2 linked regions of the Nothobranchius furzeri genome follow. The protein of the gene in region 1 purifies or fractionates together with the protein of each later gene. This does not show direct contact. Links are inferred from orthologs where the notes say so. Each region holds a gene or a part of one and is shown on either strand. Other genes may lie near its edges. The genes, in order: faslg and snx33.

Region 1 (16,192 bases):
CTTCCACCTGCGTGACGTACAAGCATTTCCTAACATAACCCAATAAAGCAGCTTTTGCAACATGCCAGCCGTGGTAAACTGTGTATCAGGAGCTCTCTCTCTCTCTCTCTCTCTCTGTCTCTCTCTCTCTCTCTCTCTCTCTCTCTCTCTCTCTCTCTCTCTCTGTCTCTCTCTCTCTCTCTCTCTCTCTCTCTCTCTCTCTCTCTCTCTCTGTCTCTCTCTCTCTCTCTCTCTCTCTCTCTCTCTCTCTCTCTCTCTCTCTCTCTCTCTGTCTCTCTTTCTCTCTCTCTCTCTCACACACACACACACACACACACACACACACACACACACACACACACACACACACACACACACACACACACACACACACCTGGAATGAACTATTGTCCCAGTCTTTCCCTAACGCTCACCCACAAAACTTTTGAACCATTCAGCTAGCGGCTAGTGGTCAGTGTTGGGCAAGTTACTTCAAAACTGTAATGCATTATTTATTACTTGTTACCCTCATTTTAAAGTAATTCATTACATTACAATATTACTGGTTTTAAAATGTAAGGCATTACACTACTTTTGCATTACTCTAAGTTACGTTCAACAAGACAACTTCAGTATGAGTTTGGTAATCTGATGCCTGGTGAACTCATGACACATCTGGTGTCATGTGGTGTCTGAGCTAGGATTGCTGTTAAAAACAGTTCTTTAGAAGGATTGTTTATGTAATAAATGCAACCACAAACTGTACTCTCAGCACGTTATCATCTTAGATTAACTGAGCGGCGAGTGAGGTGGTGGGGGCTCCAAGCCTATTTGCCTTGGTCCCCAAATGCCTTGATGCGGCCCTGGATGTGGGACTGACTTCTGGTGTGATCTATTCTATTACATGTATAAATATTAAATGCTTATATTATTGCTTTTCAATGGTAAAAATGAGTATTGGGGATAAATCTACCTACATTTTTTCTTTTCAAGCACTTTGTTTTGTTTTCTTGATTTTATTTGAATAATTTCCTGCCCTTTCTCTCTCTAACCTTCCTGCATGCTGCATGTTTTCTCCGTCTTCCAGAAAACCTGTTTCCTAGATTTCCTACTTTCTAACTAATCATCCAAAGGGATCTTCACATGTGCGGCGCTCCAGCAGCAATGAGTTGAAATCACCGGAGCCCAGATTAACTCAGCTGAGGCAAAGCACGTCAGAAAAGTACAGAATACCAGAGAACATGCACTGATATGAACGATCGCAGGTGAATTATTTTGTTTTAGTGGAGCGATTTTGTGAATGTTACAGCGGCCGCGCGTAGGATGCAGCTGGAGTATTTGAGCCGTTACCGCGGCGTCCTCTCTGCCCGCAAAGCTGAGTCCATAAATGACGTAATATATGCAGATACTGGAACTTTTTTCGGGTATCCCGCAATTTGAATTTTTAATAAACGCATCTTGATTCTGGGTTTAAAAATGCATTGTAATTACCGCGTTACTGACAATTGTACCGAGTAAATATTACCATTTTCTTTCCCTGTAATGCCTTACATTACCACATTACAGCAAAAAGCAATGCATTACAGTAATTAATTACTTTTGTACTGCGTTACTTCCAACACTGTTAGTGGTTAGCTTTTTGGTTGCCTGTGTGTGCGCACGGGGTTCGGGGCCACAAAGAGGCCGCACATGGCCTGCGAGCCGCCTGTTGAGGACCACTGAACTAAAGCATGGGAGGTCAAGGGGATGGGGCAACACTGATTTAGCTTTTCTGTGAAGTTAAAACCTATAGATGTAGTTCACTTATTTCATTCACTTTGTATAATGCACCATTACTACAGCATAATGCTTCCACCACTATGTTTAACAGTTAGTATCACGTTTGTAGGTGTGAAAGCGCCACCGTTGGTCATTAAAACATTTACTTTTGTGTCATAGAGATCAAAAAGCTTGATTATTGTCTTGCCTGACTCAGCGCCTTCCCTTCCTACATGCAGAACACAAGCTGTGTGTAGGGACAAGGGGTATTCATAAGTAGCTAGTGAGGCTACAGACAGCTACAGTTTATAAACTTGATTCTCCCACATTCCATCAGAATTGACAAAGCTAATCACATTAGAAGTGAAAAGTCTTCAAGGAACCAAAGAAGTCCAGTTGCCTTCATTTGAACCCCTCGGGATTACTATGAGCTGGACGACTGAGAACCTTCACCAGCATTTTCTTGAACATTCTAATGATTAAAGTCAATCATGATTCCAACAAGAATTGTTAAGAAGTCTTTCGCTCATCAAGTTATGCATCCAGTTCTTTGAAAGCACCTAACTGATGACATTTGTACCCAGGATGTAAAATTCTGACTGCAATTATAAGTCCAACTGTAACAGCCAGATTAATACTTGAATACTTACATTTTCATCTATCCATTCATTCGATTGGGTAGCAGGGGCAACAGCCTAAACAGAGAGGCCCAGACTTCCCTCTCCCCAGCCACTTGGACCAGCGTGTCCAGGAAAATCCCAAAGTGTTAACTGGCTACCCGAGAGGCAAAGTCCCTCCACCGTATCCTGGGTCTTCCTTTAGGTTTTCTTGTTGGACGTGTTCAGAAAACCTCACCAGGGAGGCGTTCATGAGGCATCCTAACTAGAGGCCCAAGCCACCTCAACTGGCTCCTCTCAATGTGGAGGAGCAGTGAATCTACTCCAGGCCCCTTCTGGATGACCGAGCTTTTCACCCTATCTAAGGGCGAGCCCAGCCACCCTGCAGAGAAAATTCATTTTGGCCGCTTGTATTCATGATCTCGTTCTTTCAGTCACGACCAAGGGTAAACCCTAGGCTCTCAGACCTGAAGCCACCCTCATCTGCTAGGTTCTGGCACCAGAAGTGAGCAAATCCTTATTGAATCCGATGCTAAGAATGCCAATTCCACAGCAGAAAATAAACATGTTTACAGTCTGGTTCAAAACACCATTTTAGGTTTAACAGATCTAGTTTACATTACATAGATGGCAACTTTGATGGAGTGAATTTTTTTTGTATAAATTTTCTGTTTAAGTGAATTTTAATGCTTAAAATTCGGAATAATTAATGAGCATCAGAGCCATGTGACTTCAGAGCTAGCTCCAGGAAATGGCCTCAGCCTCACTTTAATAGATGTTTCGACTCTGAACGTTAGTTGTGTCCTCTGTGTGTTTGTGTTCGTATTTGGATGTTAATGAAGAAGGCTATCAGGCTAATCTGCCGTTGTCGACGGTTCTGGTGTACTGCAACGTGGCTCCAGGCTCTGCATCAACTTAGCGCCGATAACCGAGTTGACGTTCCCAGAGGGCCTTGATGGCTGCTCTCGTTATCTGCCTGTATCTGATTTTGCTCTACATGTTTGTGTGTATAACCTTGGTTAGGGTGTACTGCAGAGACAATTTTCTATACTTAAGGACGTTGGGGCATTGACAGTAAAGTTGATTCTGGTTCTGTAAAAGGCCACAGCGCCTGGCTACAGTTGTAGCAGTCTGAGGTTCTGCTTGTAGTTTAACAGTCCCGGTCCATATTAGAGCTCCACAGGTGACCAGCATGAATACAGCCTCGCAGTCGGCCGTGCGGGTGGGCTCTCCCCGAGCCCCTTCTTAGCTTAGCTAAGTTAGCTAGTAGCTACATAGGTTAATGTGTAGCAACCCTGCTCCAACCGTAACAGCCCCACCCTCAGTTCCAGCTCTTTTCCCATTTTTTGATCGTCTGGGCGTAACGAGACACGTGACACGGTCAAAACAGCGGTGTTGGGAACCTCCCATTTAAAATCAAAAACTTGTAATTTGAACCTATGGACATTATTTGTCCAGTATATTTGTCGATGGTCATGATCCAAAGGTCACAACCATAGGTGAGGGTATCAAAGTAGATCGACTGGTAAATCAAGAGCTTCACCTTCCGGCTCAACTCTCTCTTCACCACAACAGACCAGAACAACACCCACAGCACCACTCCGCCTGTTGATCTCGTGCTCACATTTCCCTCAAGGCCTCGAGATGCTTAAACTCCCCCACATGAGGCAGAATCAGAAGGGTTTTATTGCCATGTGTGTGAGAATCACAACATTAGAAAATTGCTGCGATACTTGGTGCAAGAAAAAAATAAATGATAAGCAAAATTAGAACTGAGAAAAAACACAACGAAATGAAAGTAAGATAAGGAATCTATAATTAGAGAAGCAGCTGTACAAGTCAGTGTAGGTACCGGTCAGAGCGGGTCAGTTCAGGTGTAAACACAACACAGGGTCATGTGACTGAAACAATGCAGTTGGAGTGGGCAGTTCTATGATTGTCGTTCATGAGTCTGACCGCAGACAGGAAGAAACTGTTTTTGTGGCGAGAGGTTCTGGTCCGAACGGATTGGAGCTTCCTGCCAGATGGGAGCGAGTCAAAGAGACTGTGTCCAGGGTGAGACGTGTCAGCTGTGATCCGACCAACACGCCTCAATGTTCTGGAGGTGTACAGGTCCTGTATGGAGGGGAGTTTTCAGCCATTGACCTTCTCAGCAGAGCACAACACTCTGCTGTCTTTTCAAGTCCCTGATGGTGGCTCCGGCGTACCACACGGTGATTGAAGATGTGAGGATAGACTTAGATGATTGTGGTGTAGCGCGGCCTCATCAACTGTAGTGATAAGTAGGATTTTTTTCAGCTGCCTCAGGAAGTACATCCTCTGCTGGGCCTTTTTTATGATGGAGGTGATGGTGGGCTCCCACTTGAGGTCCTGGTTGATGGTGGTGCCCAGGAAGCGACATGAGTCCACCATCATAATGGGAGTGTCAGACAGGGTTATGAGAGGGAGTGGGGCTATGTGTTTCCTAAAGTTCATAACAACCTCCACTGTCTTCTGGGTGTTTAGCACCAGGTTGTTGTGTCTGCACCAGGACACCAGCCGTTCTGTAGACAGACTCATCCCCATCAGAGATGAGTCTGATGACGGTGGTGTATTCTGCAAACTTGGTAAGCTTGACAGACTCATGGTTGGAGGTGTAGCCGTTGGTGCACAGGGAGAAGAGCAGAGGGGAAAGAACACAGTCCTGAGGGGAATCGGTGCTGATTGTTCGCAGGCCCGAGGCCTTTTTCCCAGCCTCACTTGCTGCTTCCTGTCCATCAGGAAGTCAGAGATCCACATTCAGATTGGGTCAGGCACGTTCATCAGGGACAGTTTGACAGGGAGGAGATCTGGGAGGATTGTGTTGAAGGCAGAGCTGAAGTCCGCAAACAGGATCCTGGCGCAGGTACCCGGGGAGTCCAGATGCTGCAGGAGAAAGTGTAGAGCCATGTTGATTGCAACAGCTCCAGGCAGGACCTATTAGCTGTCTGTAGGCAAGTTCAGCCTGGCTAACTCCTGAACAAAGGGAGTTGCAGTAGTCCAAGAGTGAAGTAATAAAAGCATGGACTGCTGTTTCCAAGTGGGCATGCGAAACTAGCTGCTTGATGGCAGCAAAGATGGAAAAAATAAGAGCGTAGCACCCCATTTTTACGACTCTAACTTAAGTAGTGCAATTTAGGGTTGCCAGTTAACCTAATGTTTCTGGTCAGTGGGAAGAAACCGGTGAGCCTTTCACAAAGTCATGCATGCATGAGAACATGCTAACTCCACGCAGAATGCTGCAGCTAGAATTCAAACCTGAGACCTTCTTGCTGCAAAGCAACAGTTCTACCAACTCTACCACCATGCAGCCCACTCCAGATTTGGAGAAGAAAAACAAATAGTTTCACATTTTAGCAGATGCATTTGCTTCTCATCTACAAAATTAATCCCATACTGTGGTTTATATGTGTGCAGCTAATATAATTTCCTGTGAGAGCCTGTATTCTGCTCTTGATTTAATCTATCTGTTTGGCAATCAGAGTATTTAAATGTTACACACAAACATGCCTCAAATGTGATAAATGTTTGGTGAGATTTGGAATAATCATTTAGCCTTTTTGAAAAAGACAAAAAAAAAAAAAGATCAGTGGGAAAGTGTCAAATGTCAAAAGTGAAATGAAGACGTGTTTTTACAGCTGTTGACGCGGACTTTTTTCAGAAGTGGGTTTGATAAACAGAGAGGTCCATGTTGACTTGTCTGAGTAGAAAGCTGAACATTCTCAGGTGTGGTTTTAACTTTTATAACCAGCAACTCAGGAGGTAAAAACCTAATGAGGTTTATGCAAGTTCACACAGAACAGATTTCTAAGAGTTTGTTTTTGAGGAGTAATGAAAACTCCTCGTTGCACCAGAATAACCGGTGTTTCTTGTCAAATTCCCACAAGTTGTAAGTTATTTACCAAAGAAAGAAAGTCCAAACTGAAATATTCTGATATTATTTTGACATTTTAAAGGACCGGTTATTCCTTATTGTTCAACAGGTGATGAAACCAAAACTTCTTAAGAAGCACAGACGCTAACCACATGGATTAAAAGAAACATGAACTCTTTCACAAAAAAACACCTGCAGGCATGCAAGACCCTCAAAACGTTCACACAGGAAGGAAATGCACATCAGAGTTGTTTCGTCCCCTCTGCATGCCCATCATGAACATCTTCTCACTCTGCTGACTTTGTGGTGCACTAAAAACGAATGCAGCAACGAGCGTTAAACTGAAACCAAAGCTTGCATTCTTTTTTTTTAATCCAACTCTGGTTGCTTTACAGGTTCATGAATTGTCACAAGAATATAAACTCTTGAGGGTTGTGTCTGAGGTTTGTGCAGCCCTCCTCTGCACCCAAGTGGACTTGAAGATCACCTTCAGGAGCTAGTTTGGGTCAGTCTCTGCCTAGATAGTTTCTAGCACTCATACCTAAATCTAAATGTGGGTGTTCACATAACACAATCTATTCAAGCATCTAAAACATTCTGATTGCACATAGAAATCTCTTGTTGCAACACGCATAAACTTTATTTGCTTTATTAACAATCATATTAGAGCACAGCTTCTGGTTTAGAGGCACATATTCAGACACGGTGTCAGTCCCTCAACAAATAAATATTTAAAACAATGCTACAACTTTAGCAGCACCTTAGTGTTAACCGACTCCTGAGTCATCAAGAAAAAGAACAATACTGGTGTCTACACGTGAGTGAAAATACAGTTTAATTACTTTTTCAATGTGCACAATTCTCATTATTTAGGATGTCAATCAAGGAAATGCTCAAGATGTCCTCAGGGTTTATACATCGCAGAGCCAACAAAGTTAAGACAATGAAGAGATATCCAAATGAGTTATTGATAATAATAATAATAATAATACACATATATAAAAAGGTGTGTGTGTGTCTGTGTGTGTGTGTGTGTGTGTAAACACATTCAGTTCATCATTTGGGTGAAGTTTCTGGTACGTTTTACACCTGGCTCAGGTCAGTCCGCCTCACAAACACTCAAAACTGTTCAGATCTTATGAAGACCAAAGAAGTTGGCATAATGAGTGTGGCTGAGATATTCAGGGCGCGAAACATTCACATAAACTTTATCATGAATCTTCAGGTGCAGAGTAGCGCCCAGGTAGCTCTCTGTTGTCCAGGACCGGCCCGCCGTCTGAGGGCAGAACCCCGCCCTGTGGGCCTCCATCAGAGTCAAAGGTGAGTGGTGTCCTGCCCTCCTTACAAATATGGAGTGATCAAACGAGGAGGTGGAGGTGCAGCCCTTAAAGATCAGCTCCACTCTGGAGTAGATATGGTAGAGTCCAGTCTCGTTGACCTGCAGGGCTCCATCTTCGACCTTGTAGGACACTCCCCCCGAGACGAACGCCTGGCCCGTCCTCGACTCCCAGCGCAGCGTCTTTCCCGGTATCGGTCCGATGCGCCCTGCAGCAGGAAAAACATGACATCAGTAAAGATCAATCAGAGAATATCAGGAGAACTCAAAGTGAATATTTACCAATCACATGTGCTGCAGGTCTGTCCGTTGTGTCTTCTCCGCTTAGTTCAGGCTTATGGAGACCTAAAATCACCATCAGATTAGTCACAACTGCTCCTTTTTAAATTCTTTATTCAACATTTGAACTTTTTCTATGTTTTTTGAATGATTCGTGCACAGCACGCAGTGTTTCATGGTGTGAACCTACCAATTTGTTTCAAAGGTGCATGAAAGTCGGTGGCAGGTTCAGGTTCAACCTAAAGTGAAATGAAAGACAAATCTCAATACCACATCACACACTTGTGAGCTTCAGCTTGTTCCAAAAGCATCTAAAAGCATTCTCACAGCACAAGTGAAACAGAGGATATCCTGTCTGAATGGACTGGCGACCACAAATGGAGCGGTGAAGACAGAGGTTTGCATTTTTAAATGCCTGAGCGAAACCCAGCCATAGCCACTCTCAAGTAGTTATTTTGTTCTAAACCGAGTGACTTATTAAACGTTACAGGTATGCCCAAGCTTTCCAACCATAGTTCCACTCTCCCACCTTACACCTCCATGTCACCACCTTTCTATGCAAAAATCCCTTCTTGCTTTTGCTGCTCTACCCCACACAAGAAAAGGGTGATAATGAATATTTTATCTGTGCAAAAAATAAGATATTAGATTTTCCAGCATACTTTTTTCTTTACAGAGGCCTGCACTTTAGCTTTTCAATTCTCTCATTTCTAGACTTTCATTGACCTCTTACCTTTTTCCAGGGCACGTCTTTGATCTTTTTTTGTATCTGCAGAATCTGCCAGCCTTCAAACCCCAGAGCTGCAAACGCAAGCAGGAACAGCATCAGCACGACCATGGCCAGTCCAGGGCTGATCCCCATGCAGCCCCGGCTCTTCTCCCTGCTCCTCATCCTCTCCACTGCTGGTGGGAATGACCAGCAGGGTATGAGGTTGGGAGGCTGCGATGGATGGTGCGAACCTCCACCTTCATCCACCAGAAACACCTGAGGGAGCGGGTACCTCTGGTCACAGCTCATGGTGCAGGTCCTGTGACACAAGCGGGGTGAGCATTTGCTCTGTGTAGAAGAGGTGTGGACTTATGTTGTAGCACCACTGAGACATTACCACCCACTGTTCTCCTCCCACATCTAGAAGACAACATCTTTCCTAAACGTGCGCAAACTGGTAAAACAATCATCTGCTGAGCTGCTCTGGTTGGCTTTGCAGTATTTAATGTGTTTATAATTCATGCATCTCATGCTTTATGCACGTTTTTCAGCCCCACTTGAACTTTGTTTTATGCAAGATGCAAAAGAGCCAAGTCTGAACCTGAAGGAAGTTTGAGGTTTTAGATTACCTGGACCTCATTAACCACTTTCTCGTCACTTAAAAAAACCTTCAGGTTCCACGAAAAGAAAATCTGAGCAGCATCCCTTGAGCAGGTACTACTACTGAAATACTGAAATATACTTTTGTTTCTGAATATTTCATTTTCTTTCCTTTTCAAATTTTCAACCTTTTCCATCCATCCATTTTCTTCCGCTTATCCGGAGTCGGGTCGCGGGGGCAGTAGCCTAAGGCAAGAGGCCCAGACTTCCCTCTCCCCAGCCACTTGGGCCAGCTCCTCCGGGGGAATCCCAAGGCGTTCCCTAGCCAGGTGAGAGACGTAGTCCCTCCACCGTGTCCTGGGTCTACCTTTAGGTCTCCTCCCGGTTGGACGTGCCCAGAAAACCTCACCAGGGAGGCGTCCAGGAGGCATCCTGACCAGATGCCCGAGCCACCTCAACTCTTAATGTGGAGGAGCAGCGGGTCTACTCCGAGCCCCTCCTGGACGACCAAGCTTCTCACCCTGTCGCTAAGGGAGAGCCCAGCCACTCTTCGGGGAAAACTCATTTCGGCCGCTTGTATCCGCGATCTCGTTCTTTCGGTCACTACCCAAAGCTCATGACCATAGGTGAGGGTAGGAACTAGGGTTGTCACGATACTAAAATTTCAAATTCGATTCGATACTTGACAAAAAACTCGATTTCGATACTATTTAAAAACACCAATTTATTGAACAAGTTTATTCAAAAAATAACATTCCTCCATTTATATTGCAAAAATTAAATGTTAAGAATTAAGTGTGTAAAGTGCTTCAACCTTTCAAGTATCAGCATTTTTTAAAACGTGCGTACAAAAACTGGCGAAAGTTAACACTTTAAATCATGAATTGTCTCACTATATATACACTATTTGCAGTGATGTTTTGCTGCTTAAACTCTGTTTAAGGTGCATTTTTGTCATAAGATGTATTGCCATATATTTTGTTCTGTACTTTTGAACAACTCTGTTGGTCAGTAAAGGGAGAAAACGAATTTCTCCACAGTAGGACAAAGGTACATCTAATCTTAATAAAAACAGACTGGCGCACGGCAGTGACGTCATTAAAAGCGCCGGCTAGATTAGCCGCGGCTAGTCTGTTTACGCCTAAAAATCCGACACCCGCTCCAAACGAACAGGGGACTCATGATAATGATTCATAACAAAACCTTTCGACATGAAGATGTTTTGGTGCAGATAATGTCTTATTTCGAGGCTGCACATGGGTGCCCGTCTGCACCCGTTACATGGATATACGCTGATGGCGATTCGCCGATGGATCTAAATACCCCGGGGAATCCAAGTAGCACCAAAGTTGTCAGCGTGAGTAAACAAACGTACTGCATGCTAGAAATTAAGTCCGGGTTGCAATAAACGGGAGTTTCCATTAAGCACATAAGCGTGAATATACAACTACGTGTCAGACTTGGTATGCTAATTAAGTTGGGCTGTGAAGTGCCTCCCAAATTCGCTGTTTATGTTTTTGTTTATTTATTTGGCAGACAAAACTTGGATCGGAGACAACTCACGTGGGAAATTGCAACGTAGCCATGCGGCGTCTTCTTCTGTTTGTCTGGGAGGCGGAGGCTGCTTTACGGCATCTGGCTGTCGTGCGTGTCGGTGTACTTGAAGAAGGCTGTGTATAATAGTCCATAATATCGATACCACAGGGATGGAATATCTAATTTAGATACCACTTTTAGTATCGATTTATATCTAGGTATCGATTTTTTTGACACTAGTAGGAACGTAGACCGACCGGTAAATGGAGAGCTTCGCCTTGCGACTCAGCTCTCTCGTCACCACGCCAGACCGGTACAATGCCCGCATCACTGCAGATGCAGCACCAATCCGCCTATCGATCTCACGCTCCAGTTTTCCTTCACTCGTGAACAAGACCCCGAGATACTGAATCTCCTCCACTTGGGGCTGGACCTCATCCCTGACCTGGAGAAGGCATTCTACCCCAACTCAAGACCGTGGTCTCAGATTTAGAGGAGCTGTTTATCATCCCAGCTGCTTCACACTCGGCTGCGAACAGCTCCAGTGAAAGCTGAAGATCACGTTCTGATGAAGCCAACAGGACCACATCATCTGCAAAATGCAGAGACCTGATCATCAGGCCACCAAAATGGATGCCGTCCACACCTTGGCTGCACCTAGAAATCCTGTCCATAAAGGTTATGATCAGAATCGGTGACAAAGGGCAGCCTTTCAAGCTTTTCAGTTTTTTTTTAATTCTCTCATTTCAAGAATAAACCACGAAAACCCTCAAATGAACCAGATTCCAACCAATCAAACATATAACTTATCATGAAACCAGATTATTTTTGGTTAGTAAACAGTGATGCAGCAGTTTCAATAGAACAGAGAATTGTTGGTGGGGAGACGCCGCTGCCACATGAAAAGCAACATGTCTGCACCCTGGCTTGCGTGCTGGCTGCATTCGAAAAGTTTGCAGCGAGAGTCAGAGCCGTCCTTCAACAGAGGTGAGAATGAACTCTAACCAATACCTCAGTGATAAGCTTACCGGAAAGCTGAACACACACACTACTGTGGTCTTTTAGACTTCTGTTGCCATGGATACAGAATATCTGAGCTGCAGCTTTGTGGGTGGGAGGCTTTCCTTCAGCTTCAGCCTATTATCTAACGAAGATAATCAGACTAAAATTAGTGACCGATCTTGGATAAAGGGCATCTCGCTAAATTCACACAAAAACAAATTCTTGACTGGGGTGAAGCAGCTACGGTGCTGTCCCACTCTGTTGTGTTGAAAATTCATATTGAATAAGTTTCACAACATCTGAAGTCAAGTCATTCTCATAAATATTAGTAGAAATACTAATAGATATTACCAACGTGCTCATTGTGCAAGCATTAGTGAGTCTGTATGGGGACTCTCCTGTTTCCAATGGAATTTGGGTGTCACGAGTGTCTTGGTTTCATTTCTCCAGGTTGATGCTAACACAAAGGGAAACCCACCTAGCAGTGTGCAGAAAGCTCCCAACTTAAAGGGCAATTACGTCAAACTTTACCATAAACTTCACAAACTGCCGGCACCCTACAAGCTGATGTGTCTGTTTCCCAGAAGTCACGCTGAAAGAGGCCCTCGCTGCAACGGCATTAGCAGCAGCAGTGAGTGGGTTAGGTGGGAGGGTGGGGTTTTGGGGTCTAACCAGACCGCTCACAGCTGCTGCTCCAGTTGCTTCAACCAGATCAGGTATCTGAAATGAATCGCTGAATCAGCAAGTACTTCTTTCTGTCATTCAGTCTTTCTCACCATCATTTCTTTCATTGAACAATAGAGGTTGTTGTGGTCATGACTAATAATCAAACGGTGATTCTCTACCTGCTGGGGCTCTTTATGGTGTGGAAACAAACTAAATTCCTGAGAAAGCAAATTTGATGAACTTCATTTCAGTATAAAATAATTCTGCATGAATGTAGGACGAATGGTTTTATCTCTATGATGAAATTTTACTAATTTAATATCATTTTGCTATAAAAAAAAGTCGATTTCAGCAAAACTTTTCTATTAAACTGTGAAAAAGTTTCATACTTGTAGCAATTTTACTAAAGAATTACACTAAAATATTTACTGACCATGTTTATATAGAACCAAGTTTAACCAGGGGCAAGGCTAGGGGCCCTCTAATCAACCACCAAGTCACCTGGTTACACAAGTAATGCTAAACAAAATATTACTTTTACTATTAGTGTAATTTTAATAAATAACATTATTGAGACATTGCATTTGTTAAATAAACACACAGGACCAGGAAAGAGTTGCGTGTAATTCAGTCCCAGACTTTACATCATTGCTTCATATCAGGACAAGATGTTACGAGCTCCTCATCAGAAGATGAGTAACAATCAAGTCCCAAAACATGACCGGCCTTCTCCGTTGTTTCATTCCTGGACGTTTCACAGTTTGACTCGTTCTTTTGTCGTCCATCAACAGAACTCCTTGTGCCCTCTTCGCTGTTCTCTGTGTTTCTGATTTGTAATAAAACATTTTGTTGTAATGAAGAGTTATTAAGGTTTGGAAGCCCAGACCGCAGCACCCGAGCCAGCTTTTGTGTTTTATGTGAACTCTGAACAGATGGTGCTCTGAACGCAGCGGCAGCCACCGCCAGTCGTGTACGGTCGAAGGCCAGAGGCTCGTTCTGGACTGAACTGACTAGTTCTGAGGGGTTTGGGATGGAGCAAAGGGAAACAACCGTTTGAAATCTGGTGTCTGAAGAGCTGCAGGCTCCATCTGTGGTTGAGGGTTTCAAATATCCTGCCAAACTTCGGTCATCCTTATCCCACAAACTACCAGCATCACACGGCTCGACAAGCCGCGGGGATTTACCTGCGAGTGAAAAAGAGAGTTCTTACATGAATGAATGAATAAACAAGACTCAGCATATTCAGGTCAAATCAATTTAAAACCTTAGAAAACACATTTCTAAGTAACATTTTAGAAGTTCCTACAAACTATTCACAGTGATTTTTCAGTAAAGGTTTATTGTTTTGGAAAGTTTAGAAGCTCTCGTCGATTTAAAGCCCACTTGTAACAAAGTTTGCATTTAGTTGCAACAAGTTAAAATCCTGCAAATGATCGTGAAACTGTTACGAAACATGATAACCCAACTTTATTCATTTAACTTGAGTAAAACAGCCATGCAAAAGGTGTAGGACACTAAATATTAATGCCAACATGATCCTGAACTTTTAGAAAGCAGTGGTCAAGGGTCTGCCGATGGGTGGCATTCCTGTCTGCTACGGGAGTTGCTCTGCAAACCGAGATCAATACAGAAAGTAGTGAAGGCAGCAAGCGCATCACTGGGAAAAGACTCCTAGTCATCAGACATCTATCTTCCACGGTGTTGACGTAAGGCTGTCAGCATAATCAAGGACCACAGCCATCTGTCATGCAGACAGTTTATCCTGCTACCATCTGGAAGAAGGTCCAGGAGTCTAACTGGCCAGACATCAAGATTAAGGAACAGTTTAGCATCAGGCTAGTCGGGGCAGCAACACTCATTAACCACCATCTGTAGACTAGTAATGGCTGACATGAATTGAACACGATAGAAATGACATAAATCTAGCCAACGGTAGAGATTTAGAGTACCAGCCAACTTTGATTGTGCATGCTGACGAACGTTGTCAAGCTGCATCTAAACCGCACTTGTATAGCACCTTTCTGAGTCAGAGGACTCCAAAGTGCTTTACACTACAGTGCATCAGTCACCCATTCACACACACTGATGGTGATGAGCTACGATGTAGCCACAGCTGCTTTGGGGCACACTGACACTACTTCAGACACTACTCTACTTTGGAGGAAAACACAGCAGTGGCTGCTTCAAGCGTGGAGCTGGTGGAGAAGGAGGTGCTTGTAAAGAAGACCGGGTCGGTTATTTGGACCTGGTTTGGATTTTAGGAATCTGGTGTTGAGTTGACAAACATCAGAATATGTCAGAGCAAAAAGAGGAAATACTATGGCTGACAGCCCTCCAGAGATGTCCGGTTAGTGAAGCAGACAGGAAAATGGTGGTTCTACACACAATCATCAAACTAGTGTATTAATTTAATGTTATTTAGGATTAGATTAAACTAGTATTTGTTTATGCTGATGTGTTTGTATTAAGGCAGTCAAAGCTAATGCTTTAATAGCCCTTTAATACAAATTCCAAACAACACATAACTTTTATGAAAGAATGAAAAACATGAAAAATGAATCAGTAAGCAGGAACACGTTATTCATGTTTCTGTATTTTTCACTTTGGTTCAAAGAATTTAGAATTTTGTGCTTTTATCACATTCAGCTTGTATAGGGCCTAGATCATAATCATTAAATTCGTTAATCGTATGATATATGAAAATGAACTCAATTTTTCCAGCCTCAATATAATGAGGTTAAGAAAAGTACAATTCTATTATTATTATTATTATTATTATTATTATTTAATATCATTACTGAAGTGCAGTTTTGGTTGTGGACACTGGATAGGCCATTGTATTTGTTTTGGAGAGACGGGGTCTATTTTATTGTTTTTGGTGCAATAGTTTCTAACAGAGAGTGAAAGTCCTTTTATATGTAATTATTTTTTGTTTTATTTATTTATTTATTTCAAAGTTCAGGTTCTGGACATATTTTGGTCTCAAGAATGGCGACAATAATATTGTTTTTCGAGAATTTTTTGGACAATACATCATCCAGCAAAATTTGTAATTGTCCCAGGCCTAAGCTTGCATTTTTAAAAAAATCTTCATTCATGGCTGCCAAAGTGCTGACACACAGCCTGACAGGTCCTGTGTGTTTGCTGAAAAAGTAATTAAAAAGCTTAAAGGACCCTGGATTGTACTATCAACGTCCTGCTCTGTGGTGTGGATAATTCTCTATCTTCTGTTGACTTCAGCATGTCCAAGAGAAATTAGTAGTCAAACCCTGTATCCAGCCAGATGGAGTCAGCATATGCTGTACACAAGAATACTGGACTTTGGCCATGCCAGGCCACCCCAAGATGAACAGGAACAAGCCTTCACAGGTAGGCCGCTCCTTGGTGTTTTTAATCTCATGCTGATGCTTCTCCTGGCTGGAGATGTTGAACTAAACCCTGGACCCATGGACGTCACTAGGATTGAGAGATGGGGGGGGGGCTTAGCCCCAGGAGCTTGACCTTGAACATTTTTTGTCACACCCTGCAAAAACTTTGTGAATTAATTCATTATCTGAAGAACATTTAACAAGACCTATTATTTTATTACTTTCTTTTCCTTTCCTGCCTTTGTGCATTTTCTCTCTTCTTTTTATAAAAAAATAACACTTAATCAGTTCATTAGTGGGGTCTATGTTGAGGAAAGATTTTATATAAGTCCATTAAAAATTAGATGTGTTATATTTCCAAATAAAGCTATTCATTTCAGTCTACTGCACTTAACATGGGGAAATGTTGCAGTCATTTGTTTAATTTGTTTACTTACAACTTGCTTAATT
Region 2 (16,192 bases), on another chromosome or scaffold:
AATCAGTGACGCAAAACGGATTACTTTCAGTAGAGAAGAACTACTGTGTATCAAGCAACAAATCACAGAGACGGATTTTCAAAAATTTGAGTACCCGGGAAGTTTATTGGAAGTTTTGATCGGAGGAACTGCTACTGTTTGTTGGAGAAGGAAACGCAGGAGGGGTAAATGAGCAGGGGCGCTGGTGAGACTCTGCCAGAGGGGATTTCGTATGCCTCTCCCAGCAATACACCTAGCGAACGTCCGATCCCTACCTAATAAAATAGACGAACTGCTCCTTCTGAACAGGACTAATAGAGACTTTGCACACTCCGCTGCCCTCTGCTTTACTGAAACGTGGCTCAGTGACTTGACTCCTGATAATGGATTATAACTGCCCGGGTTTTGTTTACATCGCGCAGACCGGAAAAAAGAGCTATCAGGGAAGACGAAAGGAGGTGGAATCTGCTTCTACATTAATGAATGTTGGTGTACATATGCTACAGTTCTCAGTAATCATTGTAGCTCAAACTTGGAGACAATATTTTTGAACTGTTAGCCGTTTTACTCCCCGCGGGAAATATCTTCATTCATTTTGATTGGAGTATACATACATCCTCAAGCAGATGTGAGTGTTGCATACTCTCGCCGATCAAGTTACCTCCACAGAGAACAAATACCCAGACTCAGTGCTCATTATTTTGGGCGATTTCAATAAGGCTAAACTTAATATCGAACTACCAAAATACAGACAGCACATCAGATGTCCTACTAGAGGCAAAAACATATTGGATCATTGCTATACAGTTCTTAAAGGGGCATACCACTCTGTCCCTCGTGCAGCTCTCGGCCTCTTTGACTATAATTTGATTCATCTTATCCCCACTTATAAACAAAAACTAGAATCTGTAAAGCCAGCCATCAGGACAGTGAGGAAATGGACAAATGAAGCAAAAGAGGAGTTACAGGACTGTTTTGATTGTACAGACTGGAGAGTATTTGCAGATGCCACAGGCGATCTGAACGAGCTAACGGACACTGTGACATCCTACAACACCTTCTGTGAGGAAGTGTGTGTGCCAACAAAGACTTTTCGCACCTTTAATAACAACAAGCCATGATTTACAGCAACACTGAGCCAGCTGAGACGGGCAAAGGAGCAGGCCTCTATACAAATCACTCAGGAACACTTTGACTAAGGAGATCAGAGCTGCTAAAATTAAGTATGCAGCAAAGCTGAAAGACCAGTTTTCAGCCAACAACCCCACATTATTATGGAGAAACACTCAGCACATTACCAACTACAGAATACCATCCTTTATTTCTGATTCTAATCATGGCCTTGCTGAGGAGCTAAATGGCTTTTACTGTCGCTTTGAGGAAAGGAATGTCACTCCCCTCCTCCACTCCAGCATAGCTGCAGCCGCCACCCCTCACCTGGAAATTCTTACTCCTCTTTCCTCTAATTCACAAGCTACGTTCCTTGTGAAGGAAGAGGATGTCTGCAACATCTTTAGGAGGCAGAACGTATGGAAGGCACCAGGCCCAGATGGAGTAACTCCTTCCTGCCTCAGTGAAGAAATACACTCCTCGATGTCAAATGGTTTTATTGACAAGGATGAAGGAGTCCTGCGGCGACATACAAAGCTGAGTGAGCAGAAGCTAACGGCAGCGTGAAGCAGCAGAATGGGCTGAAGACCAAAGCTAAGCAATGCGATAAAATGGGTAAATAAATGCAGCGCGGCTTAGCGTGCATACTGACAATGTGACCACTACATTAGCTTAACAAGCAGGTGAAGACTTACAGATACAAGTCGAACAGTAGCATGGATAGACAGCAGTGTGATGGCTGAGCAGCAGCATTCAAAAGGAGAAGCAGCAGTATGTACAGTGAGGGATAGTCACATGTACGTGACTTCAGGCACGTTCCTGCGGGGAATAGTCACTTGTACGTGACTTCAGGCACATCCCTGAATACACCTTTTTCCCTCGAGGCTTGATCGCAGTACACCCTAGTGGCCAGTGGTGATCTCTGCAGTGTTAGAGGTATGGTGGTGTGAATTAAGTTTTAGTTAAGGTTGGTTTAGGAATAGATCAGCATTGGTTAGGGTTAGGGTATGGGTTTAGAGGCACCTGGCTCCAGCAAAATGGCAGCTTGAGCTCACCTCCAGTCGCCATTGCCTTAACAGAAGTGCCCGAAAGTCATGTCACCTAAAGTTACGTGCATGCCTTAAGTTCTGCTTGTCACCTGAGGTAAAAAGTTGTTTTAATATGATAGATCAAGGATAACATTAGTAATAGTGAATGTGGTGTTGTATTTTTCTGAAGTTGGTCTCGAACGGGCAGTGTAGTGTTCACATATAAATCCGAGGGACTTCTCAGGAATGTGAAAATCCCCGAGCCTGAGCGCAGGATTTAATAAATAAATAATAAATGACCCGCACTTGTTTAGCACCTCTCAGAGTAAGGACTCCAAAGCGCTTTACACTACAGTGTATAATTCATCCATTCACACACACATTCACACACTGATAGTGATGAGCTACGATATAGCCACAGCTGCCCTGGGGCTCACTGACAGAGACGAGTCTGCTGAGCACAGGCGCCACCGGTCCCTCCGACTACCACCCGCAGGCAAGGTAGGTTAGGTGTCTTGCCAAAGGACACAACAGCAGAATTCTCTGTCTGGAGCCGGGAACGAACCTGCAACCTTCAGATTACTGTAATAAGCTTGGGAAAGACCACGGTGTCCTCCATAATGAGATAAACGAAGGTGGGCATATGCCGTGTTGCTTTTGGAGACTCTGAACCACATTATTTTATTAATTTGATGTGTGTGTCGTCTGTCTGTGAAGGTTCTCAGTCATCCAGGTCATTGTAGTCTAAGGAGCTTTGAAAGAAAAGCGTCTGGACTTCTTTTAGTTGCTTGAAGACATTTCACCTCTCATCCGAGAGGCTTCTTCAGTTGTTAGGTCAAATGGTGGAGAGTCCCAGATTCAAACCCAGTGGGAGGGAACAAAAGACACCCTGATGATCTTCTACATAAACACATGAGCCAAGGTGTGAGGGTGGGAGTGGGTCCTATTCAGCCAGAGTTTCGGGTGAGCTCATTGTGAAGCCTGGCCCCACCCTATCATGTGAATTCCTGAGGTCAGATGGCCCAGGATATGCGTGGGCGTTGAGGCATCTGGGAAGGGATCTAAGCTGTGTGTGTCGTCATAATGTTTTGCCACACTCACACTGCTTTCTCCCCTGAGATTGCTGGGGTGAAGCTCCGATGCAGAGGACACACACACACACACACACACACACACACACACACACACACACACACACACACACACACACACACACACACACACACACACACACACACACACACACACACACACACACACAGAGAGAGCTCACTCTCTTCCTCAGTTCCTACTGGTCAGCAGCGCCATGCTACAGACAGAGAAGTTTACTAAACAGCATCCAGCATGAACAGCCCACCATTCAGTGAGAGAAAGAAGTACCCAATGTCACTTTTGAAACGTGGAAGGAGCTAAGGTGATTGGTTTATGGCTTTGACCTCTGTTACTGTTTCTTTTCTAGCCGCGGGCAATATTTAATTACTCTTATTGATTAAATCAAATCAAACTTTATTTATATAGCACTTAATCATACAATGCATGTAAATCAAAGTGCTTAACAAGTTTAAAAGGCCCCGCATACCCATCCCCAGAATTTAAAAACAGTCTGAGAATAAAAACCCCTTCACAACACTCATCTTCCGGCACACACACACACACACACACACACACACACACACACACACACACACACACCATGGAAAATAAGGAATGCTTTGATGACCCTCCCTGTTGGATGATGTAATTTAAAAGCTCTTTATCTATCAAAGGAGTGTTTTTTTAACAGTCTTTGATGGCTATCAGTTCTAATGACTCCTAGCTATCCAGGCAATCCATCCTTGTTATCTTACTTAACACCCTCCAATCTTGATTTGCTACTGGTTCTGGTGACTCCTGGACATCTCTACTCCCCAAACCAGACCAACCACAACCACTTATTACATCAATGTTTCAAAGGGTTTTTGCTGCATAAATTTGAAACTAAAGGAAACAAACATCATTTGCAAAAATGATTACGCGTTTGGTCCAGTTTGAATACAGGAAATACATTACAGTAACTTCAGAAGGTCATTAGAGACCCTAAGAAGAGCTGTTTCAGTAGAATGAGCTCTACGAAAACCTGACTGGAAGCTATCATAGATGTTATGTTCATCAAGAGCAGCTGTGAGTTGTTTAGCCACAACCTTTTCCAAGATCTTGGAGATAAACAGAAGTTTAGAGATGGGTCTGAAGCTGCTATGGAGAGAGGTGTCAAGACTCGGTTTTTAAGAAGCGGGTGGATTACAGCATTCTTAAAGTAAGCAGGGACTTGACCAGAAACCAGAGAAGCATTAACTGTAGAGAGCACGCTTGGACCGATGGACTGAAAAGCACTTTTAAACAAAGATGAGGGTAAGATGTCGAGGGGGCATGCAGAGGTCTTCATAGAGTTAACTAGTTTGGTTAACTCAGGCAAAGAAACAGGAGCAAAGCTATCTAGGTTGATGGGCCTGGTTGGAGTCGGGAGAGGCAGCGATAAGGCTGAAGGAGAGATGTTAGAGCTAACCTTATTGACTTTGTCCACAAAGAAAGACGGAAAAATCTCACAGTCTGTAACAGAGTGGATGGAGGCTGTAGGAGAGACAGAAGAGACAATGCTGCTGATGGTGTTAAACAGCACCTTGGGGTTCCCTTTGCTCTGGGACACCAGGTTGGAGAAATAGGAAACCCTGGCGTCTCTGACTTCAGAGTTAAAGGATGTCAGAAGATCCTTAAGGTGCAGCAGATGGACGTGGAGATGGGTTTTCTTCCACAAGTGCTCGATTTTTCTGCATTGGCGTTGTAGGCTGCGAAGGCTGTCAGTAAACCAGGGAGTAGGGTTCACTGCAGGAACTGATCTGGTTCTGACAGGACAGATGTTGTCCAGAATGGAGAGGCAGTGCTCGTTAAACTGAGAAGTTAAGGAATCTGGGTCGTTATCAGAAAAACAGGGTGGATCAAAAGCAGCAGAAAAATTGCTATCTGTGCTCTCATTAAGAAAACGAGAACTAACCATACGGCGAGCAGGAGGTGGGGACGCAGAAACTGACAAGTTAAAGAAAATGCAATGGTGATCTGAAATATAAATGTCCTCAGGGCAAACACTGTGAGCATTTAGACTCAGGGTAAAAACAAGGTCTAGCGTGTGCCCCCTGGTGTGTGAGGGGCCAGAAACATGCTGGGTAAAGCTGAAGGAGTCCATAATGCTGGAGAAATTCATGGCAAAGTGGTCCGAGGGATCATCAACGTGGATGTTAAAATCACCAACAATCACCAGTCTGGACAGCTTCACAGTGGAGGATAGAAAGTCACTAAACTCCTGAAGGAAAGAACTGTTTGGACCAGGTGGACGATAGACCACAGCATAGTAGAACGGGTTCTTATGCCCGACTTTAATCAGCTGCAGTTCAAAGGAAGCAAAGTGACCAGAGGTTGTAGAGCTACATGGAAGATGGTCTCTGAAAACAACAGCTAGGCCTCCACCACGACCAGAACCCCGGGGCTGGCTAAGAAAAGAATATTCACTCGGGCAGAGTTCAATCAGACCAGAATAATCAGATGTTTGCTGCCAAACTTCAGTCAGAAACAGAAAATCCAGGTTTTTAGAGAGAATTAGATCATTGAGCAGGAAGGTCTTATTGTTAACAGAGCGGGTGTTCAATAGGGCCATGCTGAGTGAGGTGGAGGAATCAGAAACTACAGAAACAGCTGGAGTTAGTGGACGTAAATTAGCAGGGTTAGATCCACGGTGTTTATAAAAACCACTTATGGACGGAACAGGAGGAGAAACCACTGAGGAATGAGGATAACCAACCTTAAAAAACTTGGACGGAGAAACCGCGCCACATTGCGGCCTGGCGTGAATGCAGAAGTGGCGCTCAAGTCGCCAAACAAAGGACAAGAAGCTAGAAGATCACCCCGATGTTTACTAGATCACCCACACTTTAACAGAAGTCTTATTCTCACCTGGATTCCTGCTCGTTTACCTCTTTTCCTCCGACGTTTTCCCGGGACCAAATAAACATAGCAGGAGGCGCGCTGGTTGGGATCGTCGTTTGGCTCCGGACCAGCACGCCACTCAGATAAACAAACAGGGAGGTACGTCCTCGGTGCATCTTGGGCGATCGTGAATGAACGGAAGGTCAAAAGAGTCTGGCAATCAGAGGAGATGGTAGCAGGGACACTACTGAAGAAGATCGCAGGCAGGAGCAAAGTGGAAAAGAGGAGGTTAGTGGAGAAAAGTTTGAAAAAGTGACCTGTGACCGCGGCTAAGCCAAGCACAGGCCCCATCTTGTTACCGACCGCAAGTGTTCGTGTGTATGTGTGTATATGTGTCTGTGTATATGTGTGTGCAATTTAACATTCCCCTCACCCCCATCCTCACCTTAACCAGCTTGCGCATGCAAAGCTCTGATTGTTGACGTGCTCCAGACATCTGCGTCCTGAGCACAGCCACAGTAACATTATCAAATCAGGTGTTGCCACCTCAAAAACTAATTTAACACGCGATCGTTCATGTCGGCTCATTTCCTTTTATGTTTTCTGTATTTTATTCTTTTATTTGTGCCTGATGCTTTTCGCTGCTGTGGATCAGGGCGCATCACCTGTTTTGTCCTCCAATAACTTCACCTCACTGATGTGGTCGGCGAGCAGCGCGCACTCCGCTGTTTTTGCGGTCGGTAGATCTTTTAGAACTGCAGTTCAAAGGTAACTCATAAGGTGAATGCAGAAGTGGTGTTCAAGTCGCCAAACAAAGGACAAGAAGCTAGGTAGCAGTTTTTCTTTAGGACTGAGAGGAGATGCAGGAAGATAATAAACAGGCAGGACAGAAAAATAGTCAAATAAAAACAAGTTAGTTTTTGTACCTGGTGGTTGCAACAACAGACACCATTGAAGGTAATCAGAAGTGAGGAACAGAAAATGAAATAATTATTTTAATGTTTAGAGCAGCGGGAACTCTGAGAGGCTGCAGGCACACCAGTGAGTTTGCGGCTGCTGCGCAGGGGGAGGGGGGAGAGAACTGAAACAAGATGCAGTAACAACCGTTGTTAAAAGAGATGTTTAACTTTGAAAATGTGGGCGCATTTTTTAATTGTCAAAAACTCCAACCAACCGACCCCCCCCCCCCCCCGCGCCCAGCTTCAGGTGTATGACGTCATCAACGACTAGTCAAAGTCGACTCGATTTTCATTACTTGACTGTCAACTTTAATAAAAATTAATTCATGCAGCCCCTAGTGTGTGTGTGTGTGCAAGTGTATGTGTGTGTGTGTGTGCGTGTGTGCGTGTGTGTGTGTATGTATGTGTGTGTGTATGTGTGTGAGTGTGTGTGTGTATATGTGTGTGTATGTGCGTGTGTGTGTGTGTGTGTGTGAGTGTGTGTACATGTGTGTGAGTGTGCGTGTGTGTGTATGTGTGTATGTATATGTATGCGTGTGTGTGTGTACATGTGTGTTTGTATGTGTGTATATGTGTGTGTGTATGTGTGTATATGTGTGTGTGTATATGTGTGTGTGTATGTGCGTGTGTGTATGTGTGTGTGTGTATGTGTGTGTGTATATGTGTGTGTGTGTATGTGTGTGTATATGTGTGTGTGAGTGTGCGTGTGTATGTGTGTATGTATATGTATGCGTGTGTGTCTGTGTGTGTGTGTGTGTGTGTGTGTGTGTGTGTGTGTGTGTGTGTGTGTGTGTGTGTGTGTGTGCGTTAGACCCCGCTCGTCCTGCTCATAGGTCCTGCTGGCGGCGCCATTGTTCTGGTTTTGCTTCTTTTATGGAACATAAAGAAGAACTTCCCTTAAACGTCCGACCATCACGTCATGGAAAGACTTACTTTGTTGCGGCTCGTTGCGGGTTCTTTACCAGGAAAAGTGGCCGGTGATGAGAGCTGATTCCGGGGAAACATCGGAGTGTTTGTTTTCCACCGAGGATCGAGTGAAGACGCGCAGGAACCTTTTAACAAGGAAAACGCTGCAAGTTTGGGAACGAGGCTCGGATCGCCGATGCCATGACGCACCCGTCTGTTTTTCTCCTCTCCGGGTGTCGGTCCTGGGAATGTGTTTATCACGGATTGGACTCGGGTTCCTCGATGGGAAGCGTCTGATTAGTGAACGTCAGTGACCACCAGCAAACGTTTGGAGGATTCAAACCTCTCGTGCAGTTTTGGGTTTGAACGTGTAGTATTTTAATGTGAAAGTGGAAACATGGTTCCTTTGTGATAAAGAGCAAATATTTGTAGTTAGATCAACAGTTGGTGGCCTTGAAGCGCTGTTTCTCACTAGTGGTAAACTTCAACTGGATGTCTGGAACTCCTGTCCTGATAGCAGTCACATTTAAAAGTGCTGTAGGGCTGCCCCTAACCCGGGCAGCATGTGCATGTAGAAGTTAGTGGTGTAGAGCCTGTTGGAGTGTAAACATGTCTTTAAAGGCTGTGGCCGTTTACACCTTTCTAAGTGAAAACAAAGAAGAGATTAGCATCCAGGAGAATGAGGAGGTGGTGATCTTTGATGAGAACACGGTGGATGGCTGGTTCCAGGGGGAGAACAGCCGAGGGGAGAGGGGGCTCTTCCCAGCATCTTATGTGAAAATTATTCGCACTCGTTCAAACTCCAACATGACTGATTGTTCCATAAGCCCAGCAGGCTCTTTAGGAAATGACTCCTCCGATCTACCATCCACGCCAAACACTTCTTTTAATTCTGGGAAGATTTATGACGAGGATGATTACGATGACTGGGACGACTGGGACGACAGGTCTACTGTCGTGGATGATGCTGAGAACTTCAGGGGTCCCGGGGCTAATGGACATGCCTACCAGGCCCAAATGTCCAACAGTCCCAATATGCACTACAGGAACAAGTCAGTATCTGGACCAGACAGCATCTCCAGCTCCAGGAAGGGCAGCATGGTGGGCAGGAACCTGAACAGGTTCTCCAGCTTTGTCCGCTCAGGTGTAGAGGCATTTGTGCTGGGGGATGTGCCCATGATGGCTAAAATTGCTGAGTCATATACCATTGAGATGGGCACACTGGGGCCTCAGTGGAAGGACAGCCCTCAGCCGTTCACTTGTTCCATTGAAGACCCAACCAAACAGACAAAGTTCAAGGGCATCAAGACCTACATATCATATCGAGTCACGCCAAGCCACACAGGGCACCCTGTCTACAGACGGTACAAACATTTCGACTGGCTTTACAACCGTTTACTCCACAAGTTCACTGTGATCTCTGTGCCTCACCTCCCCGAGAAGCAGGCCACGGGCCGGTTTGAGGAGGACTTCATTGAGAAGCGTAAGAGGCGCCTAGTATTGTGGATGAACCACATGACCAGCCACCCAGTCCTCTCCCAGTATGAAGGCTTTGAGCATTTTCTGATGTGCACTGAAGATAAGCAGTGGAAACTGGGTAAAAGGCGGGCAGAGAAGGATGAGATGGTGGGTGCCCACTTCATGCTGACCCTTCAAGTCCCCACTGAGCACCAGGACCTGCAGGATGTTGAGGAGAGGGTGGACAACTTTAAAAGTTTTGCCAGGAAAATGGACGACAGTGTGTTGCAGCTCACAAATGTCGCCTCAGAGCTAGTGCGTAAGCACTTGGGTGGATTCAGGAAGGAGTTCCAGCGCTTGGGAAATTCCTTCCAGTCTATTAGCCAGGCGTTCACTCTGGACCCACCCTACAGGTCAGACACCCTCAACAACGCCATCTCCCATACTGGACGCACGTACGAAAACATCGGAGAGATGTTTGCAGAGCAACCAAAGTACGACCTCTTCCATATGCTGGATAAGCTGTCACTCTACCAAGGCCTGCTCGCAAACTTTCCTGACATCATTCATCTACAGAAAGGTAATGCTACAGTGTTGTCATGCATGTATGGCTTTTTTACAAAAACCTAATAAGGTGATTACTTTATTTATATATTATTTAGGTGAGTCTATCACAAGTCCTTACGTGGTTTTGACTTCTGTAGCTTGTCTGAAGAATATTTTTCCTGCATGCTGTGCTGTGTGTGTGGGTACATCCTCTCAGTAGGTCAAGACTCTGACACATGATGAGCTCTGTTGCATCAGTAGAAGATATGGTTTTGCTGGACAAGGAGGTTCTAGTTTAGTCTGACTTACATCATCTAACATAGATCATACTTTGTGGTTTGTGCTAGTGCCGCACAATAAATCGCAATATCACCACGCGCAATACGCATATTGCAACGAACAGAAAAAAGCGCAGTGAGTGGTCAGATCAAATGTTTACTACATATAATACTATTTTTTCAACCAAACAGAAGCATGAAGTATTTGATAAATCAAATAGAGCTCTTCACCCATTTGGCCAATTAGGTGGCTTCTCATACATTAGATGCCCACCCCCTATAGGCTGACAGCACTTGGATGGCTAGCAAACATTGCCCTGCTCTTTATGCTGATTCTGCGGTTCCCAGGATCCATTGATTGCCCTTTCCTGTTCATTTTCCTTTTCCTTTCCTCACAACTTTTGATAAAATTTTTTGCTTTTCCAATTATTTAAAGGGCAAGTCACCCCTAAATCTACTTTTTTGTTTATAAACGATATAAATGAGTGTCTAATCGTGCTGTAGACATGTGTAGTCAATCTTTTGTACATTTTTGCTGTGTTTGTCTTCTATTTCCAATTTTGGTTCTTATTTAAACACAGATAAAGTTTTTCTTTACCTTGCTGACGGTTTCGTTTGTGGCTGCAAACATCTTTAGGGCTGTCGCTGAACCGTCAGCAAGGTAAAGAAAAACCTTATCTGTGTTTAAAAAAGAACCAAAAATGGAAAGTGAAGGCAATAATTTGGCACTTTAGTGCATCTTAGTTAAAATTTAAACAATCTGCCTAAAACTGTCAGTGTTGCGCCGTCGTCAGGTAAAAACTCTGCACTGCATTTGAATTTAAATCTGCTATTGCTATTGGCTAAGAGGTACACTGTGACGTTAGCTGGTACATTATGATGTCACAGTGTCGTTGTGAGCCTCTGTGTTTGTTAGTGGCTCCGCCCTCTCGGTCTTGTAGTGGGAGTGGAGTAAGACTCTGGTAGGGGTGACTTGCTCTTTAAGATATTTTTAAGTCATATTTTTTTATTTATTTTTCTTTGCTCTTGAGTTAGGTATTTGTTTATTTATTGCAAGTCTTATTGTCATCGCAATATAAATCACTGTTATTGCACATCGCAGGTTTTCTTAATGTCGTGCAGCCCTAGCCTGGCAAGCCAGACTAAATAAATGTATTATTTAGTCTGGCCATGCTCCATTGACGGCTCTCGGTTGTGGGGCGGGATCTACCGTTGTCTTTCAAATGATCTCCGCATTCCACTGGACAATGAATGTGACATACTCTTGTTTCACTCTGTTGCATCATCCCACCCACCAGGCATATAGAGTGCCCTGATTGGCCCACAAAGTGGATAAAGTTCTGTGATTTGTTCACTAAGCAGATAGAGCACTATGATTGGCCCACCATTATGGACCAATCGCAGCTCTTTATGTGTTTGAAATAGGGCTGGGGGGTAAACGATTATTTTTAAAACGATTATTCTGACGATTATTTTATCGAATAGTCGACTATTCTAATGACTATTTAGAAAATTAATCTAATGATTATTTTTCTATTGCACAATTAACAAAAACCAGAAAATCTCAAATAAATTCCTCAAAAAAATTGATAAATTGTTACTGTAAGAGAATAAACACTACAGGCCTTCCATTTTTTTATAACACTGCGTTTATTGTGTTGCGGTTGGTTATGTTCTGGTGACATGTAGAACTTGGGAGTGCAGGCTGCTGCCTGAGAGGTGGTAGAAGATGGAGTGTCTCCATGCTGCTTTGTTTTGGTCACTTATGTGCGTGAGGCGAGTGGTCTTACGGGTTAAACCAAACTCAGGTGATATTTTACACTAAACCGAAAACCCACAACACTCTAAATGTAATAAAAGGGAGATCTACACCACAAAAAAGATGAACTCTAAACCAAAACGTAACAGCTTATCCCAACGCAAGAAGCTGTTAGCGAAGATGCTAACAGTAGCTTTACCAACGTTAAGTTCAAGTTACCAAGTTTAAATAAACCAAAAACACCCAGCAGCAAACAGACCAGCACGGAGGAGAGACTGCTACCACCAAAACAGCTCTCCTACTGTCTGAAAGAAGCTCCTTAATGAAGGGAGAAACGCTCCCGGTGATGTTCTACATCTGCGATAGACACGAAGCAGCGCATCTGACCCCGGAAGTTGTTGTCCGTTGCTGGGAGACGAAGGCGGGCAAAACAGGAAAATAATCTAGTAGTGGACGGACGTTGTTCCGGGCCTTCGGTATTTGGCGGAGATGTTAGTGAAGGCGGAGAAGAGGGCGAACTAGAGGAAAAACAGGCAGATTCCTCCTCTATTTACTAACTCCTGGGGATGCAACAAGTGGGCGCGGTGCGTCGACTTCCGGATCTGACGTCGACAAATTTTTAGAATCGAGCCATCGACTTCGTCGAGGCTTCGCTACAGCCCTAGTTTGAAACTCCTCTAGAGAGCTGTGATTGGCTAGCCAGAGTCCTGGTAGGAGCTGCTGAGGTTCCAATGGAGCATGCCTAGACCAAACTTTGCAAAGCAAGAATTTGGTCTAGTTCACTAGGCTAGTGCAGCCCTAGTTTGCACCTCACAGTTGTATGCGTTCATCCCTGTCATGCAGCACAAACATCACCTACACACACAAAAGCTGTAAAATCAGAAACAACAGTCTTTGTGAAGCTCGTGCCTGGGTAAAGTTATAAATAATTATTGTATTACTCACTTTAGGTTGCTTCTTGAGTGGCTCCAGTGCTGGTGAAGTAGATGAGTGTTCCACTGGCTGTTCTGAGCTCAGCAGAAGCTCTTGTAGATGTAGTGCTCTCCACGGCGTATGGTGATGAGCAGCATGCGGTCAAACAGGAAGAGCGTTCTCTCGTTTTTGGCCCGGTGGACTTTGAAAGTTCCTTCTAGAACCAGTTCTCCAGTGTGTTGCTGCCATCTTAAAATCATTCCTGTGATTCAGGCAACACTATTTTTTAAAAAATCATTACACTGCATCAGTTTTGGGTTGCATAGGGATGATTCTAGTTCGGTTAGTAAATAACCACTGAATTCCATGTGAATAACTGGAAACATAGAGGATGGGTGTTTAACACATAACATCGATAAACAAGTTAAGGCCTTAAATGAACTGATATTATTTAAATGCATGTAAACTGCCAAAAAATAAATAAATGGGAGTAAGGATAAAAGGTCTGCTGATCCCATTTGATGTGTTCCATGGATTTCACATATGATGTCAATGAATTTTAAAAACACATTTTGATGTCAAGAAAGTGCTTATTTTCAAACTGTGAGAAAAGTTATTTTCGGTGTGAAAAAACCATCAGATGACAAAGGTTTGTCTCACCAGTTTGACACAAAGAAAAGGAGATTAGTTTAGAAAGCTTCAAATACTTCTTCCATTCGAATTAATTTAATTAGTAAAAATGTGGACAGCATAAAATAAGTAAATGTACAATTCAGATAATTTCTTTACAGTAAGCATAATTAGCTCCTAGCTTAAGCCTGATTTATGCTTCTCCGTCTGCGTCAGTGCGGAGACACGCAACGCCATTATCCGTCCTTGCGTAGGGCTCCGGCAGGAACGCAAGTACATATGGAGTCGAGCCCACTTTTTTAAACATCCGTCGAACGAGACGGATTACGCAAGCTTGTGATTGGACAGGACGCCGCTGTTGTTTACAACGCCGCCATTGCAAAGAGAGCCGAGGATAACTAGCGGCAGACACAGAGAAGCTTGAAGAATACCTCGCGAAAAAACTCTAAAAATATGAATGTTTAATTCTCCCGTGACTGGAGGAGTGAAAAGATGCACAGCAAGCATTTTATTTGTGGACAGAAATGACAGAAAACGTGGGTTTAGAGGTGGGGAGCGCATGAAGCGGTGGGAGAATGAGAGACAAATATGTCCGTGTTAAAAGTCTCTTATAAACACAAAAAACACAATATAAACACACGATCTTGGACCGATACATGACAGGATACCACAGAACAGCGCTACGCCCTCTGTGGTCCTGCCGGGCAATTGCTTTGCAACACTCTCCAGGAGACGGAGAAGTAATAGAGCAAAACGCTTCCCTCAATCCGTGCGTGTCTGTCCCTTGTGGAGCTGACGGAGAAGCATAAACCAGGCTTTAGCCTACACGTGGAGATTAAACTGCGTCAATTCCTTTTCAACACAAGAAAATGTTCGTTTTGTTGTCAAATGTAACTCAAGGAGAAATCTGTGTACCCCCTGTAATGCTCTCACGGACCACTAGGGGTATGCATACCCCTGTTGGGAACCACTGCCCTAAACCATAATGGTGAACATTTTTTGTTTTCAGGTCATTTTAGAATTGTTTTAAGACCCCCACTCTTCAGAGAATATTCAGTGAGGAGGGAAACTCACAGTTACCTACGTAAATACTCATTCTCATAATATAAGTCACCTGTGTACGGAGGTCAAGGGTCACTGAGCTTACCAAACCAGTTTTGAGTTCCAGTAATTAGTTCTAAAGGTTTTGGAGTCAATAAAATGACAACAGTGTCCTAATTTATGCACCTGCCTAATTTACTTAAAACAATTATTGCACACTTTCTGCAAATCATATAAACTTAGTTTCACTTTTCACATATCGCTGTGTGTCAGAAGTTGAGCTACTTTTCTTTATACAATTTGGTCACTAAGCATCTCAGCTATTCAGATTATGTATTATTTAACAGCATGTTAGAGACAAGGGACAACAAAAAGTCTTCCTCAGATTAGCGGGGATAAATGAATGACCAAAAGTCTAACAAACGCCTAATCTTTATTTAACCTTTATTTATCCAGATGAGTCGGTTGAGAACGGATTCTCATTTACAACGACGATCTGGCCCAGAGGCAGCAGCAACAGACACACAGTTAGCTTTACATCAAAGGAAAATGGGTAAGATAAAAAAAATACTAGATAAAAATCTGATAAAACAATTAGACATAAAGACAATGGACTGTTCTCATTTACAATATGTACAATCAATCAAAACAGACTTAAAACAGTCTTTAAGTAGTCAGAAGTGCGTTGATCAGGAACTATTGATCACAGTGAATTATTGAAGGTAGATAATGGAATGTAGGTAGATTAGAATAGAATTGAATGGAATTGCCCTTTTTGTCGTTGTACAAGGTACAGCAAAATTGGAGTGCCTCTCCCTTTGGTGCAAATTGTAAAAGAAAACAGGAAAATAATACAGAATGAAATAACAGTAATATTTACAAATATATACACAATGTAGCAGCATTTTTGATGTAGCAGCATTATTTGGGTTCTGTGCAGGCGACTATAGTAAGCAGGTAGTTTTAGCTTTAGTGATTTTTGCAGCTCATTCCTGTCGTTTGGAAGCAGCAAACTGGAATGAGGAGCGGCCAAAGGAGGTGTGAGCTTTGGGAATAACCATAGAGATTAGGTTACTGGAATAGGGCTGCAACAACGAATCGATAAATTCGATGAAAATCGATTACTAAAAGCGTTGGCAACGAATTGCGTCATCGATTCGTTGTGTCGCACAACTCTTCCAAAAGCGCCCCCCCCTTCCTGCCCGCCGTTGCGCGCAGACCAGAGCAAGTCAGATCAGCGCGAGGGAGAGCCGCAGATCAGCGTGAGGGAGAGCCGGTACCGGCAGATCAGCGCGAGTGAGAGCCGGCAGATCAGCGCGAGGGAGAGCCGCAGATCAGCGTGAGGGAGAGCCGGTACCGGCAGATCAGCGCGAGTGAGAGCCGGCAGATCAGCGCGAGGGAGAGCCGCAGATCAGCGTGAGGGAGAGCCGGTACCGGCAGATCAGCGCGAGGGAGAGCCGACAGACTTGCGCTGCTGCGAACCGGTTCCGCATTGTCGCGCAGCGATCCAGGCAGCTGCTTCCAGCACACGGTCCATTCTCAAAGTGGCGCAACCAAAAAACTATAATTAGCACACGATCGTTCATGTCCGCACATATTCTCTATTTTCTGTCTTATTTGTGCCTGAAGCTC

What was found.
Region 2: the proteins of faslg (region 1) and snx33 purify together in Homo sapiens (co-immunoprecipitation; 3 studies listed by BioGRID and IntAct, counting the BioPlex papers as one, with this or other methods). This does not show direct contact. The link is inferred for Nothobranchius furzeri from reciprocal best matches to the Homo sapiens genes FASLG and SNX33.

Annotation. Positions count from the first base shown.
Region 1 is NC_091748.1:47,048,883-47,065,074, reverse strand, and holds faslg (tumor necrosis factor ligand superfamily member 6), read right to left. Parts: upstream 8,980-16,192; 5' UTR 8,880-8,979; coding exon 8,595-8,879; intron 8,101-8,594; coding exon 8,052-8,100; intron 7,928-8,051; coding exon 7,865-7,927; intron 7,792-7,864; coding exon 7,376-7,791; 3' UTR 6,880-7,375; downstream 1-6,879. Other genes in the region: uncharacterized protein si:dkey-86e18.1, read right to left, coding at 13,020-13,558. UniProt on the Homo sapiens protein: Cytokine that binds to TNFRSF6/FAS, a receptor that transduces the apoptotic signal into cells. Involved in cytotoxic T-cell-mediated apoptosis, natural killer cell-mediated apoptosis and in T-cell development.
Region 2 is NC_091754.1:43,252,643-43,268,834, reverse strand, and holds the start of snx33 (sorting nexin-33), read left to right. Parts: upstream 1-8,360; 5' UTR 8,361-8,545; coding exon 8,546-9,974; intron 9,975-16,192. UniProt on the Homo sapiens protein: Plays a role in the reorganization of the cytoskeleton, endocytosis and cellular vesicle trafficking via its interactions with membranes, WASL, DNM1 and DNM2. Acts both during interphase and at the end of mitotic cell divisions.